Linked DNA regions of Schizosaccharomyces pombe. The protein of the gene in region 2 interacts with the protein of the main gene of each other region in a pairwise test. Each region holds a gene or a part of one and is shown on either strand. Other genes may lie near its edges.

The links. Proteins that work in one complex are often made in the same cells at the same time.
Region 1: the proteins of psk1 (region 2) and mip1 interact in a two-hybrid assay, tested with the Schizosaccharomyces pombe proteins (one study listed by BioGRID).

What each region holds. Positions count from the first base shown.
Region 1 is NC_003424.3:1,516,723-1,523,324, reverse strand, and holds mip1 (WD repeat-containing protein), read left to right. Parts: upstream 1-1,882; 5' UTR 1,883-2,034; coding exon 2,035-5,976; 3' UTR 5,977-6,102; downstream 6,103-6,602. Other genes in the region: coatomer gamma subunit Sec21, read right to left, coding at 1-1,538, 1,583-1,613; ssz1 (putative heat shock protein Pdr13), read left to right, coding at 6,459-6,536. UniProt on the Schizosaccharomyces pombe protein: Component of TORC1, which regulates multiple cellular processes to control cell growth in response to environmental signals. Tor2 is essential for growth. Nutrient limitation and environmental stress signals cause inactivation of TORC1.
Region 2 is NC_003421.2:455,774-463,306, reverse strand, and holds psk1 (serine/threonine protein kinase S6K family Psk1), read left to right. Parts: upstream 1-3,811; 5' UTR 3,812-3,896; coding exon 3,897-5,207; 3' UTR 5,208-5,598; downstream 5,599-7,533. Other genes in the region: Holliday junction resolvase subunit Mus81, read right to left, coding at 1-323, 492-587; mrpl4 (mitochondrial 54S ribosomal protein uL29m), read right to left, coding at 922-1,356; PHD finger domain-containing protein Phf1, read right to left, coding at 1,805-3,190; GTPase-activating protein Gyp3, read right to left, coding at 6,097-7,533.

The DNA.
Region 1 (6,602 bases), on a different chromosome or scaffold from region 2:
TTCCGCATTCAATCCAAATTTGGTCAAAGCGCTAACGGCAGCGGAACGTACGATGGCATTCTCAAGCATAATCCGATTGTAAATATAGCGGATAAATCTCGTTGGTTCTGAGGCTTTAGGACCTTCTTCGCCGAGAATAGATAAAATCCGTACCGCAATCTTAGGATATTCACAATCCTCTATAAATTCACATAACTCGGCAAGGGCTCGTTCTTTAGATTCCGGAATGTATTTAATCATGTCAGAAATAGCATCAACGGCAGCACGTTTAAATTCATAACCACCTTCATCGCAAAGTATATTACTAAGAAAGGTAAGCATTGAATCTTGCTTGCGAGGAAATTTTAGACATAAAGAACGAATGGCATCAACGACGATAATTTTGAAATTATCTGAAATATCGGACATAAAGGTAACAATCTGTTTCATCAAACGGTCGACAGACTCATCATTACCAGTCTTTAGAAGTGTTGTGATAGCGTAGGTGGCAATGGAGCGATTCACGTCGGTAATTAAAGACTCGATATTAAGATTGCAGGAATGTACTAAGTGTGGACGTGTCATGGCTAACTCGTTAAGCGTACGAATAGCTGAAAATCGGGTAGCGGATCGGTGAGACGACAAGAAAATTTTAAGAACGCTAACCACAGGTTGCAAGTCATCATCTGAGATATTTTTGAGACGGACCATATTTCTAGCAACTTCTAAGTTTACCATGTCTCCTTTACTTTTTAACCACCCATGTAGAAATGGAACCATCTGGTCTCTAAATTGAGTGTTTTGATCCATTAGACTAGAAATGTAGCGGATAAGCATAACAAATGCATGAGAATTTGAGACTGTTCCTAAATTGCTTACAAGCAGCTGCAATAACTTATTCATTGCAATCGAATCATGTCTTCGAATACGGTACAGAAGACCTAAAGCATGATATTGAGAAATGCCGCTGGCATTTGGTGTGTAACCCAAGGTAGAGGTGAAAAAAGGAGAGCTAGCAACTTTTCTACCAACATTATGAGATGTGACCGCGTCTTGAACCTCGTTGTTCCAACGCGATACAATGTCTTTCGCAACAGGATATAAATGATATGCGGAAACAAGAGCAGCGCTGGCAACAGCTGATATGGGGTCAACAATACCCGTAGTTAAAATGCGTTCAATCGCAGGGACAGTGTTAGCATCAATGACACGAATCAAAGAGCGAATAGCATTAGGACGGTATATAGTTTCACGTCCCGTAGCGGTGTCTTTCATGATACTACTGGTAATCATAATCACATCTTCAGCAACAACGGAAAGCTCCTTGATAATAATATAAACAAATTGGCGAAGACTAGGGTCTTTGTGTTGGAAAAGTTTAGTAATACCAAAAAAGAGTTCTGTAGCTTGCTTTTCCTGGAAATGCTCTCCCGTATATATCAAGTAGGCGATTTTGCTAAGAAGACGTCTACTCTTTCTAGGGCTTATGGAAGATGAATTAAAAGCCCTAGCATCTTGAGTTACTGTGACTTGATTGACATTGGCAAATATCGATTCGTCTATTGTTAAAAGGTCAGCTCATAATTCCAAACAATCAACATACCACCATCATCATCTTTTTTAGAATAACTCATCTTCTTTACAAAAGTCTCTTGTATTTAGCAGAAATACAGATATAGAGAACTAAATGAACGTACTGGATGTATGTAGTAGATAAATAATTAGCTAGTAGGAGGTTTCGATTATTACCAAAGTATAACGTGTTGTGTATTTTATATTTCTTAAGTGGATTACTGAAGTATTTTACGAGCGTTAAACAGTATAACGAAATATGCCCATAAAACACTGCAAAAGTTCGTAACTTACATGGTTTAATTGCTTTGACATTTCTCCTATATCACTTGCGTAATTCGTATATACATACAGAGTCATCTTAATTTTCTCTTATTTTTTTTTGTTTTGTTAATTAAGTTTCCCTTGAGTTCCTGATTTACCGACCTTTTGTACATAGGGAAGAGTTCTTGAAATGTTGTATTTGATTTTGAGCTATGCGACATGAATGATAGAATTAGTGAAGTATCTGGTAGCTCAAGGGCTCGTAGATCAGTCTTAAGCTATGGAACAACCGAGACCGGAAGCGATAGATACACAGAGAACAGCAACATTGCTACAGAGAATGGTGTCGATACAGCGAGTTCAATGATAGATGGGATACAGTCCGGATTCCCGCAACCTAGACATGGTTTTGAAGAAGAGTACAACAATGCTGAATATATAAACATGTTAGAGCAGGTCTTTTACATGTATTACACTGATAAACGGCATCGGGGGGTGATCAGCAAAAAGAATGCCGAACCTACTGAAACAATTCATGATTGGAGAATGCGCGAACGGCTTAAAACTGTTTCTGCAGCATTGTTAGTTTGCTTAAACATAGGGGTGGATCCTCCTGATGTTATAAAGCCTAATCCTGCAGCGAAATATGAATGTTGGATTGATCCGTTTTCATTACCTGCTTCTAAAGCACTTGAAGCCATTGGCAAGAACTTGCAGCAACAATATGAAACATTAAGTATGAGAACAAGATATAGGCATTACCTTGATCCCGCAATTGAAGAAGTCAAAAAACTTTGCATTGGTCAAAGACGAAACGCTAAAGAGGAACGGATCCTTTTTCATTATAATGGTCATGGTGTCCCAATGCCTACTGCCTCTGGTGAAATCTGGGTTTTCAATAAAAATTATACTCAATACATTCCTGTATCGCTTTATGACTTACAATCTTGGCTTGGAGCGCCTTGTATATATGTTTACGATTGTAGCGCAGCTGGGAATATCATAGTGAATTTTAATCGTTTTGCCGAGCAGAGAGACAAAGAAGCTCTCCGTATTGCTAAGCAAAATCCCAATGTGCTCGCTATGCCTTCTCATACTAGTTGTATTCAACTTGCTGCTTGTGGGCCTAAAGAAACCCTTCCGATGAACCCAGATCTGCCAGCTGATTTGTTTACTTCTTGCCTTACCTCCCCAATTGAAATTTCGGTTCGTTGGTATGTCTTGCAAAACCCGTTTCCTAATAAGCTTAATTTGAATATGCTTCTTAAAATTCCCGGTCGCTTGCAAGATCGGCGTACTCCATTAGGCGAATTAAACTGGATATTTACTGCTATTACAGATACGATTGCTTGGAATGTCTTTCCAAAGCATCTTTTCAGAAGATTATTTAGGCAAGATCTTATGGTAGCAGCACTGTTTCGTAACTTTCTATTAGCGGAACGTATAATGCTCGTTCATTCCTGTCATCCTCAGTCCAGTCCTGAACTCCCCCCTACCCACGATCATCCTATGTGGAATTCTTGGGATTTGGCCATTGATAATTGTCTATCTCAGTTACCTGATATGCTTGATGCTGAAAGCAAAGGCATAGCCTACGAGTACAAGCATTCGACATTTTTTAGTGAGCAATTAACTGCCTTTGAGGTATGGCTCTCTCAAGGACTAATTAGCAGAAAGCCACCGGATCAATTACCGCTAGTTTTGCAGGTATTACTTTCACAAGTTCATCGATTGCGTGCACTAATTCTTCTCTCAAAATTTCTGGATCTCGGGGTGTGGGCGGTAGATTTAGCGCTCTCTATTGGTATATTTCCTTACGTTTTGAAACTTCTCCAGTCTCCAGCTATTGAGTTAAAGCCTGTGTTGGTATTTATTTGGGCGAGAATCCTTGCTGTAGATGATTCTTGTCAAGCTGACTTACTAAAAGACAATGGCTATGGATATTTTGTCCAAATTTTGAACCCTAATTCTTCCATTTTTCCTTCAAGTAATATTTCCGAACACCGAGCAATGTGTGCGTTCATCCTCAGTGTTTTTTGTCGTGGGTTCCCACAAGGCCAGCTAGCTTGTTTAAACCCACAGGTTTTATCACATTGTCTTTCCCATTTAAATAGTCCCGACTCTTTATTAAGACAATGGGCTTGCCTATGTATTTCTCAGCTTTGGGAAAATTACTCTGAAGCTAAATGGTCTGGAACTCGTGATAATGCACATGTAAAATTAGCTGAAATCATCGTTGACTCCGTTCCTGAAGTTCGTGCATCAGTTTTAACAGCGTTTACCACTTTTTTGGGATTTCCTGAGAAGACCGAAGAAGTCGTTGCTGTTGAAACTTATATTGCAATTGCGGCGTTAGCAGCTCTTTCTGATGCGTCACCATTAGTTCGACATGAACTAGTGATATTCCTTTCTCACTTTGTAGTGAATTATAAGAAGCAATTAATGGTAGTTGCGTATGAGAGCAGTTTAGCAGATATCCTTGAGAAAAAGAACCACAATTCTATCAGTGCTTCGACAATTTACGAAACAGTTTGGCAAGCTGTTTTGGTTTTGGCTGCAGATCCAAGCATCGAAATTTCTCTTGCAGCTGAAGCCATAATAAATTACGTTTATCAGAGTATGCTAAATTCTGAATTAAGAGAATCATTTTTAGCATTTCTTCTGCAACACTTACCTGCTCTCCATAAAGCTTCTCTTTCCAAAGATACCGATACTAATTCAGTTACGAGCGACCCGAAGCCACATCCCTTCGTTCCTTCTGTTTCAGAAAACAAAATCTTGAACAGGTCATTCTCTCTGACTAGATCGTTGAAAGGCTTGGCTTTAAGCCTGGCAGGAAGTGATCGCGCTTCTGAATTACTTTCCTTAAATGGAGAAAACAAACCTGCAGAGTCTAATTTAAATCACTTAACTTCCGCCAAAGTTCCTGGTCCACCTGCATTTAATGAACTTGAATACCAATCCGAGCTAGACATGCCGCTTACAAGTTACTTATTTGATTGGTCTCGTAAGTATTTTACCGAACCCCAAATGCGGCCGAACGAAGACGATGAACCTGGAAGTATTTGCTATAATCAACGTTTGTGGAGAAGAAACAGAAACGAAAAACTTATTTATCGTACTCGTCCCCTTGCTGAATACTCAACCAACGGTCGTTGGAATCAACAACTTATGACATTTAATAATACTATCGCTCCTAGGAAGCTTATGTTTCACCAATTTGAAGATCAGTTAATTACATTAGGTGACAAAGATATCATTCAGGTATGGGACTGGCGTCGCAATCGTTGCCTCAATTCTTTCAAAACTTCAGCAAGTGCGACAACTAACGTGACCGACATGCAATTACTAAATGAAGATGATGTTGCTTTATTGATGACTGGGTCTTCTGATGGCACAATTAAACTGTATCGTGACTACGAAAATGAAAAGGTTGAACTGGTAACTTCGTGGAATTCTCTAAGTGATCTTGTCTTTGGAGATCGAAATGCTAGCCTTTTAATGAGTTGGCAACAGAACTGTGGGCACTTGCTTGTTGCTGGAGACGTACGCGTTATTCGAATATGGGATGCTTCTAAAGAAATCTGCTATGCAAACCTACCAGTAAGAAGCAGTAATAGTATTACAAGTTTAACTAGCGATTTGGTCGGTTGTAATATTATAGTTGCTGGATTTTCAGATGGAGTTCTTCGTGTTTACGACAAACGATTGCCTGCAAGAGATTCACTAACGGATGTTTGGAAAGAACATTCGTCCGAGATCGTCAATGTTGAAATGCAATCCTCCGGAATGCGAGAATTGATTTCGGCGAGTTCAGATGGTGAAGTTAAGCTATGGGATATTAGGATGAATCATTCTTTACAGACTTTTTCAACAGACAACTCTGGACTCACCTCTTTAACTGTGCATAGTCACGCCCCAGTTTATGCAACCGGTTCCTCAAATCAAAGCATAAAAATTTGGGACACGTTAGGCCAGAATATTAATACCTTCCGTGAAAATCCACGGTTCCTTAATCAGCCTAAACCATCCAGTTTAATGTGCCTGAAGTTTCACCCGCATCATTTATTACTTGCATGTGGTGATAACACAGATAGTAGAGTTAATCTATACTCTTGCACCAAAAACGAGATTCATACGGATTCGCCGAACGAGTTTTAAACCATGTTTTCCTATAGTTTTAACATAATTTATTATTGATTACTTTACCTGATTAGACTTTTCTTTCTATTAGCAACACTTAATTTGGTTATTATACATATTTTGCTAAACCTGCCACTTTGCTTAGTCTTCTCCTTTGCCGTGTAACTCTGCTATAGATATTTGTAAAACCAATTTTTAATATGGTTTTGAAGAAGTTTAAAAAATCACTAATTTACAATTAAGATATTACATTCATCGAAAAATTGAATCTTTTATATACATTTTATGAAAAAGCTAGTAATTATCAATGTTTTTTAATGTCAAGAAAAAAAAGCTTTTTTTAACTTAAAAAATAATTAATAATATACTAATATACCAATTTATTTATTTATTCACAATTTCATGTTTTCGCATTGTACTATTACTTTCTTATATTCGGGTCGTAAATTCTGATGCAGCTGAAGCTAACGAAAACTCTCCCATTCAGCGAAAATTTTATAATGGCAGATTCCGAAGAATACAAGACTGTCATTGGAATTTCTTTTGGAAATCAAAACAGTTCTATTGCTTTTAATAGGGTAAGAAAATTTTTTTACTTGGAGAAATGAGTAATCTCCTAGTTCATTCGCATAGACTTGCTTTAT
Region 2 (7,533 bases):
TCGTGTTTATTAAGCATATAAAGAGCGCAAAGAATTGAATATGCACCAGAACGATAGCTCGGAACATAGACCTTTCTCTTTCTTGTAGTCGGTTTTTTAACGCTTCGAGGCTTTTCAGAAGAAGTCTCAGAAGACGATTTATTAGCATTGACATGAGAATCATTCTGTTCATTGTGCGTGCTAATTGGAATATTATTTTCCAAACAGTAAGCGTTCCATTTCTTTTCTAGCTTGGCACAAATCGTAGGGCCAATTCCCTTCAGTGCCAATGCCTGAGAAGGACGATGAAATGTGATGGGGCAACTTTTCATTGAATCGTAGGCCTAATTATTAGCACGGTTTCTTATTTAAAACAACAACAACAGTGATTGTTATGATATTTATGGAGTACGAAGCTATAAAAGCTTTCGAAAAATTACAGTCATTATTAATTTAATATTTAAATTATTTATTTTTCAAAGAGTTTTTCACTAATCCAATAAATTTCCTACCTTTCTCCAGGTTTGATATGACTTGGGGAAGCGACGCGTCGACTCTTCCATCCACTCCTGTATCCATTGTAAAAACAGCGGATTTCCACAATCCATGGATCCGAAAAACAAAGAAAAAAACTATTTCATTCAAATTATCGATTGTCACACGAAACAAAAGTCTAAACAAATGGATGTGGATAGAATGCGATTTCCTAAATTTCGTGTAAAGACATTAGCATGGTTGCCGGGACAACCGAGATTTTATGATCAGTATAAACAAAATAAAGAAAACAATTATAGGTGAACAAAATAAAAAATCATTATCATCATTATAAAACAGTTTCTCGTGTATTAGGGTATATTTTTAGAAAGTTTGTGAAATGATGAAGCTTTAGATCATAATAAAGCCATACTTGGATGATTTTCTGTTTTCCTAAAAGGAAGGGGTTTAAGAAGATCCCTTTTGTTTCTCGAGCTGCTTGGCAGAAGTATATGCTCTTTGGCGTTCCCATAGGACAAATTTGATAGCTGCCATGGTTTTATTGACTGCAAGTACACGCTCATTTGAGGCTTTGGGAATAGTCAACTGTAAGCGTTTCATTTCAGCCCTTTGTGTGAACAATAGGTTCTTCTCTCGGAGACAATTGTACCAAAGTCCATGTAGATCATTAAAAGACTTCCAACGAAGCTCTTCTGCAGCCCATGCTCTACCGAATTTAGCCTCTTCCGATGGTGGTGGAAGGGCTTGCTTGTCCCGAAAGAAATTCCACAAAGGGTGCGTGTCTGAAACCTTAGGAGCACTTTTTACTTTTGGAACAGGAAATACAAAGCCCTTTGGAATACGTACGGCTGCTTTCTGAGCGCTAGCCAACGTGGACCTCATCTTTGGTGGTAAGTAGAAGGTGCGCTGTAACACCCTGACATTGACCGATAATAATGGTTGTAAGTCATACTTTAAAAATAATTATTTTTTATTATACTTCATTGACTTTCTTAATTATTGCTAAATTGAGAAATTGTTCATTTCCTTATTTTATTTTATTTTAAGATTTCATGGCGAGGAAACATTCCAAACGAAAAGTTTATAATGTAAACAGAAAGTGTGTAGGGCGATTTATGTATTTTCCCTAGATTTGTTATCGAGTGAAAAGTTTGAATCCATGAAGGAAATACTAAAGTACTTTGATTTGCAGCTAATACATGGTGTAATGATACATTGCTTTCGACCGCTTATAAATTTATTTCGAGATTAACGGGACGCAACCGTTTAATTAAAAACGGGAAGTAAAGAAATTTTTTTTGTCTATACATTTAGAAAAATTTGTTCAGTTTCATAAAACAGTAGCACATAAATTTTGAGGATCATCGGTGGGGAAAGAGACAGGCACCAATTTAGGTACCTTACGGTTTCGTTGAAAAGTAGGAAGTAAAGAGGGTTGGAGGTGAGGGTATTCTTCGACTGTTGCTATTTGATAGATGCTACCGGAACGGACCAGTTGACCTTTATTTACCATCCAACGAATGGCCTCGGAAGCGCTGTCGTGAAAAGTTGGTAACAATGGTACGTTTTGAGCAAGCCAGTTAAATATTTCATCTTTGGAAGGTGAGAGGGTGTTACGAATAGCTAACCGTATTAACGTTGGATAGTCGTATAAGGTTCCAGAATTCGCAACATAACTTGCGGTATAGGGGACAGGTGCAGGCTCATCAGAGGGAGCTTCATCTTGTTTAGCATGAAGTCGCTCTTGTAAAGATATTTGTTGGCGTTCAGAACTAACAAGTAGTTGATGCCGAATCTCACCCAACAACTCCCGAGTACGTGGGTTGTATATGGGAAGAGATGGATAAGACTTTTCACAAAAAAGAATAAGATCTGCGAGATGAGGAGTAGGTAAACTTGATAGATACATTTTTTTGTCTGATTCACTTAACCCAAGATCTTGTGCCGTCATTCCCGTTTCTAAAGGTTGCTTGGCACGCCTGTACTGGCATTTCATACAAAACCATTCAGCATCCACATCCTGAACGGTTGCATCGTCAATCGGAGGGTGATGGCAAAGCTGATGATATGGAGAATTGCATCCATCACAAAATACGATTCGATTAGATAAAGGAGAATGTCCTCGTTGACAGACGCTACACAAGGTGACCATATCGACCTTGCGACTTTTCCGTTTCAATGCGGTGGCATTAGGATTGTATGCGACTGGCCGCTGAATCTTTCTACCCGATTTTGTTTTCATTCCTTCCACGTGAAAGTCTTCCTGTAAATCATCCTCGGCACCTTCTGCAACATCGAGATCGTAAAATGGTATACGATTATCGTCTTCCCGACGAGACGATCGAATGCGTCCATTCTTAGTCTTGGTTGATGCAGACTTGGGCAAGCGATTGAATGATACAGACAAAGAAGGATCTTGCTCCGGTGGTACTGAAGTAGCGCCTGAAGAGGAAGATGCAGGCATAGTCATACCGCCATACGGTGTCTGTACATGCTGCTGCAGTTGATGGAAATCAGCGCCAAATGGTCCAACATCGGAAATTCCAGAACCCGATGCGACAGGGGAAGCATCAAAATTCGAGCTGTCCGTTTCTCTAACTACACCTTGAGCCGATACCTGAGGAAGGGATGAATCAGCACCATTTTCAAAATGGAAACCGGCATAGTCATTTACACCATAGCTCTTTCCTTCGTCGAAAAAATTCTTTTGAGACATTGTAAAAAACGAGGACTAATAAATATGAGTAATTTGGAAAATTTTGATTTAAAACGAAATGCACAATTAGATGAAACTAGCAAACATGAAACGCAAATTAAAATGATGATACACGCAATTGTCACGCAGTGAATGTTAATTCAAAATATCTGAGACCATAGAATAACTTTATGTAAAAAGTAAATCTTCCTAAATCTCAATTCATTGATGTAAATTCGCCATTCAACGAAAGATGAGTTTAACACGCGCGTCTCAAGAAGAAGGTATGCATAGGCCATATAAAACTGGCATCGTTTTACAGAGCCAGCCTTACATTACGGTAACAACATAAGCAACAAGACATTTTCATTCGTTAAAATGCACAAAGCACATCGTATAAGACACGTTAATCATCACTAATCTAGCTTCTCGGCATAAAAAAATTTTAAAGTAAAACGCACAATAGCCTATGTAAGCGGTCCAATAAGTAGTAAGTTGATAACTTTAATTAGTAAAGAGGGCGAATCAAAAGCTTTATATATATCTAAACTTTACTAAATTGGCCAATCAGCAATGCGTTTTGAATCAACAAAATGAGGTATGACAAAGAGAATTTCTTGCTCTACATCCCGGCAGTCTTTTGTTCGTCTACCAAACAACAAGGAAAAGGCATTTTGGGCATACATATGCCAAACTTGTGATCCTTCACAGTACAAATTGCTCAAAGATGCCTGTCTTTATGTTTGATGAGCACGACAATTTGAATGAGAATTACAATTCCCATTTGTCTAGTGACGATGAGATTGCAGAGGAGGGATATGATTTTGAAGAATTGGAGGCATCTGCGTCGACAATCACTTCGTCAAGTGATTTGAAGGATGGAAAGAATGCCAAAGATGAAAAGGGGACGGTAGAGTTTAAGGTTGCTGCCCATGGTGATTTTATTTCTTCCAAGGGTGACAACTATGTACCAAGCGGAAAGATGCGTCCAGCAGACTTTCAACCCTTAACGGTATTGGGTCGTGGCTCTTACGGAAAGGTGCTCCTAGTGAAGCAAAAAAATACTGGACGACTGTTTGCTCAGAAACAGCTAAAGAAAGCTAGCATTGTTCTTCGTGCCAAGGGCCTCGAACAAACCAAAAATGAGCGACAGATATTAGAAGAGGTTCGACATCCGTTCATTTGTCGCCTTTATTATGCTTTTCAAGACCACGATCGTCTTTATCTGATATTGCAATATGCACCTGGAGGAGAGTTATTTTCTCATTTGGCCGAGCAAAGGATGCTTCCTGAGGATGTGGTTGCTTTTTATACTGCTGAATTGACTCTAGCATTGATACATTTACATAAACTTGGTATTGTGTATCGGGACTTAAAGCCAGAGAATTGTCTTTTGGATGCTGAAGGCCATATCCTTCTTACAGACTTTGGATTGTCAAAGGTGGCTGAAAATGGAGCTGATTGTCGTTCTTTTGTAGGCACTGAGGAATATTGTGCTCCAGAAATTTTGTTGGAGCAGCCATATGATCATGCCGTCGATTGGTGGTCTATGGGTATCCTCATATTCGATCTTCTTACAGGATCTCCCCCCTTCACCGCCAACAATCATAAGAGAATTATGGAAAAAATCACTCGTGCAAAGCCTAACATACCTTTTTATGTGACTTCTGATGCTAGAGACATTATCAACAAATTTCTCAAGAAAAATCCAAAGCAACGCCTCGGCGCAGATGGTCCCGAGAAAGGTTACGATGCAATAAAAAAGCACAGAATTTATCGCCGAATTGATTGGAATAAGTTAGAGAAGCGCATGCTGCCTCCCCCAATTGTTCCTTGCATCACCAATCCTGAGGCTGCGGAGAATTTTTCAGTCGAGTTTACCAAATTGCCTCTTTCTACAACACCCATTCTTCATGAAGAATTTGGGAATTTAACAATTGGTAGCCATTCCTCTGCTTTTCAAGGCTTTACCTATGTTGCGTCTCCCAATTTTCTCAACTGTGAATTTTTATCTAACAACGCAGTTTCGAACCATTAAATAGGTTTCGCTAAAGCATCATTTACTAAGTGCTTTTTTATTTTATGTGTGAAAAGGATATTTTATTTTAAACAAACTGATTATTCTCACTATATCATAACTCCTTTCATCCTTTAGGGACTCATAATACTTGAAGAAACTCCATTAATTAATCGTTTTCTATCGAACATCGATCCTTAAGATTCTAAGATTTTAATTATAATTACTGTTAATTCTTTCATTAGTTGCTTCTTTACTTAATCCCTTTTCACTAACCATATTATTATTACACAATAGAAAACTTTAATTTTATATATATTTATATACATACTTTACAAAACATCGGTCAGCTTAGTGTTTTCTTTAATATATCAATTGTTCATACTTTATATTAACATTAAAAACAATTTCCTGTTGAAACGAATTAGCAACAAATGATTTATAAAAATACAGACTGAGGGCTAACTACAAAAAATGATAAAACAGTGATCTTATAATGCTATGTTAATAATATCAAGCATGCCGACATTAGTGACTCGATTCCCAGTGTCAACGGGAGATAAAATCGATTGTTATGCAAACAAGAAAGAGGCAATTATACAAAAGAGACATATAAATAGATCGATTTGCAAAAATAATGGCATATGCCCGAATAAAACGAGTGTATAGTGGAGTCAATGACTACCTAAAATAATAATCTGCTGAACAAATAAGTGATGGAACGACGTTCATACAAACATTTCAAAATTAATAGAATAAGGGCTGTTCAATGTAGCAATGTAAAAAAATAATAAAAATCTGAACCAATCAACCAAATTCTTAACGAACAAGGGCATTCATAAAATTAGTAACGAGAGTAAAGGTTTGACAGGTTTGACAATGGGCAAACTCAATTGGTAAACAGACATAACTAAGTAGACTTCTTCAAGTGATTATGAAGCTGAGATATTATATGCGACTTGCTGAATCGTGATGATGAACGACTAAGGTGATGTTTCGAAGAATCACTCATTTCAAGCTTTGAAGCAGAAGAGTTACGCTTTTTTGCAACCTTTTCTCTTCGACGCTCTATATCCTTTTGGGAGGGAGTGCGCCTAAAATTCCTTCGGAAACACAAGGAGAGAAATGCATTAGCGTCAAGTAACGATTTGGGTAAATCTTGAATCACCTGAAATACCTCTGTCTGCTCACTTTTCGACTTTATATCATCTTCACCAAGTCTTAAAATACACAATGCCGTCATAAACAAAACTTTGCTGCCTTCATAGAAAAAACAATCCCATACACGAAGAGCAGTCTCCGTAGGTAAAATGCCAACAAAGGCACTCATAAACCAGGCAGCAGTTACGAGAGTAATGGGAGGAAGCTTTGCCACAATATCATTGACGGGTATACCATCAAAATTAAGACTGATGCGGCTCCAAACCGCTGGTAAGCTTTCTCGAACGGATGCCATCAAAACACTTTGGTCGATGTTAGCACCTTCTAAATTGGCATCATGCATCTTTGGTAAATATTTACGACACGTAATTACGAGCATCCAAAACGCCTTTTCTTCACTCATAAAAAGCAGGAAGAAACCAGCAAGAAAATTCAAGCTTTGACAGTAACCATTTTCAGGTAAGTATGTTGCAAAAGTCATTAGAACACGACGCAGTTTTGAAATCATTGGAACATCAGGCTCCTCTGATGAATGCTCTGATGCGTCGGATGAGTTCCTAGAATGCTTGGATTTATGTCGAAAATGTACATTGTCTGGAAAGGTACGATATAGATCACGTTCAATAAGGTCAGAATCTGAGGGCTTTTTTATGCACGCACAACGCCATAGAGTCTCGTACAGTTTAGGGTTTCTCTGAAGTAATTCGTAACCACCGCTGTAATAAAACCAGGCATTGCCACGATACTCGGGTGGTATTCCTTTGCGAATAAATCGTTGAGTTTTAGCACTGCGGCTAGGAAAAATACTAGGAGATTGGTGTATATAGTCTATACCGTTTTCTTGAAGGAAAAGCTTCCATCGCTGTTCGCGACGCTCCAGGTAGCGGCTGTAAGGGCCATACCATGTGTTGTATTGGTCAACGGTATAAAACTGGTTGGCTTTTTTGAAACCATATATATCCCAGCTTGAATGGGAGGGCTTGTACTTTTTGGGTCCTCGGAGCTTTTTGGTGAGAGGACCTTCTTCATAAGTGACGTCGCAATTAAGGGAGTTGGTTTTGAAAGGAAGGCTTGGATCTGTTTGGGATGAACGCTTTTCACTCTGGGTTTCGTTGGTAATAGTGGCAGCGGTGACGGCGGAAAATTTGGAGGAGGACGTTTCAGTACTAAGGCATGATTCACGCTT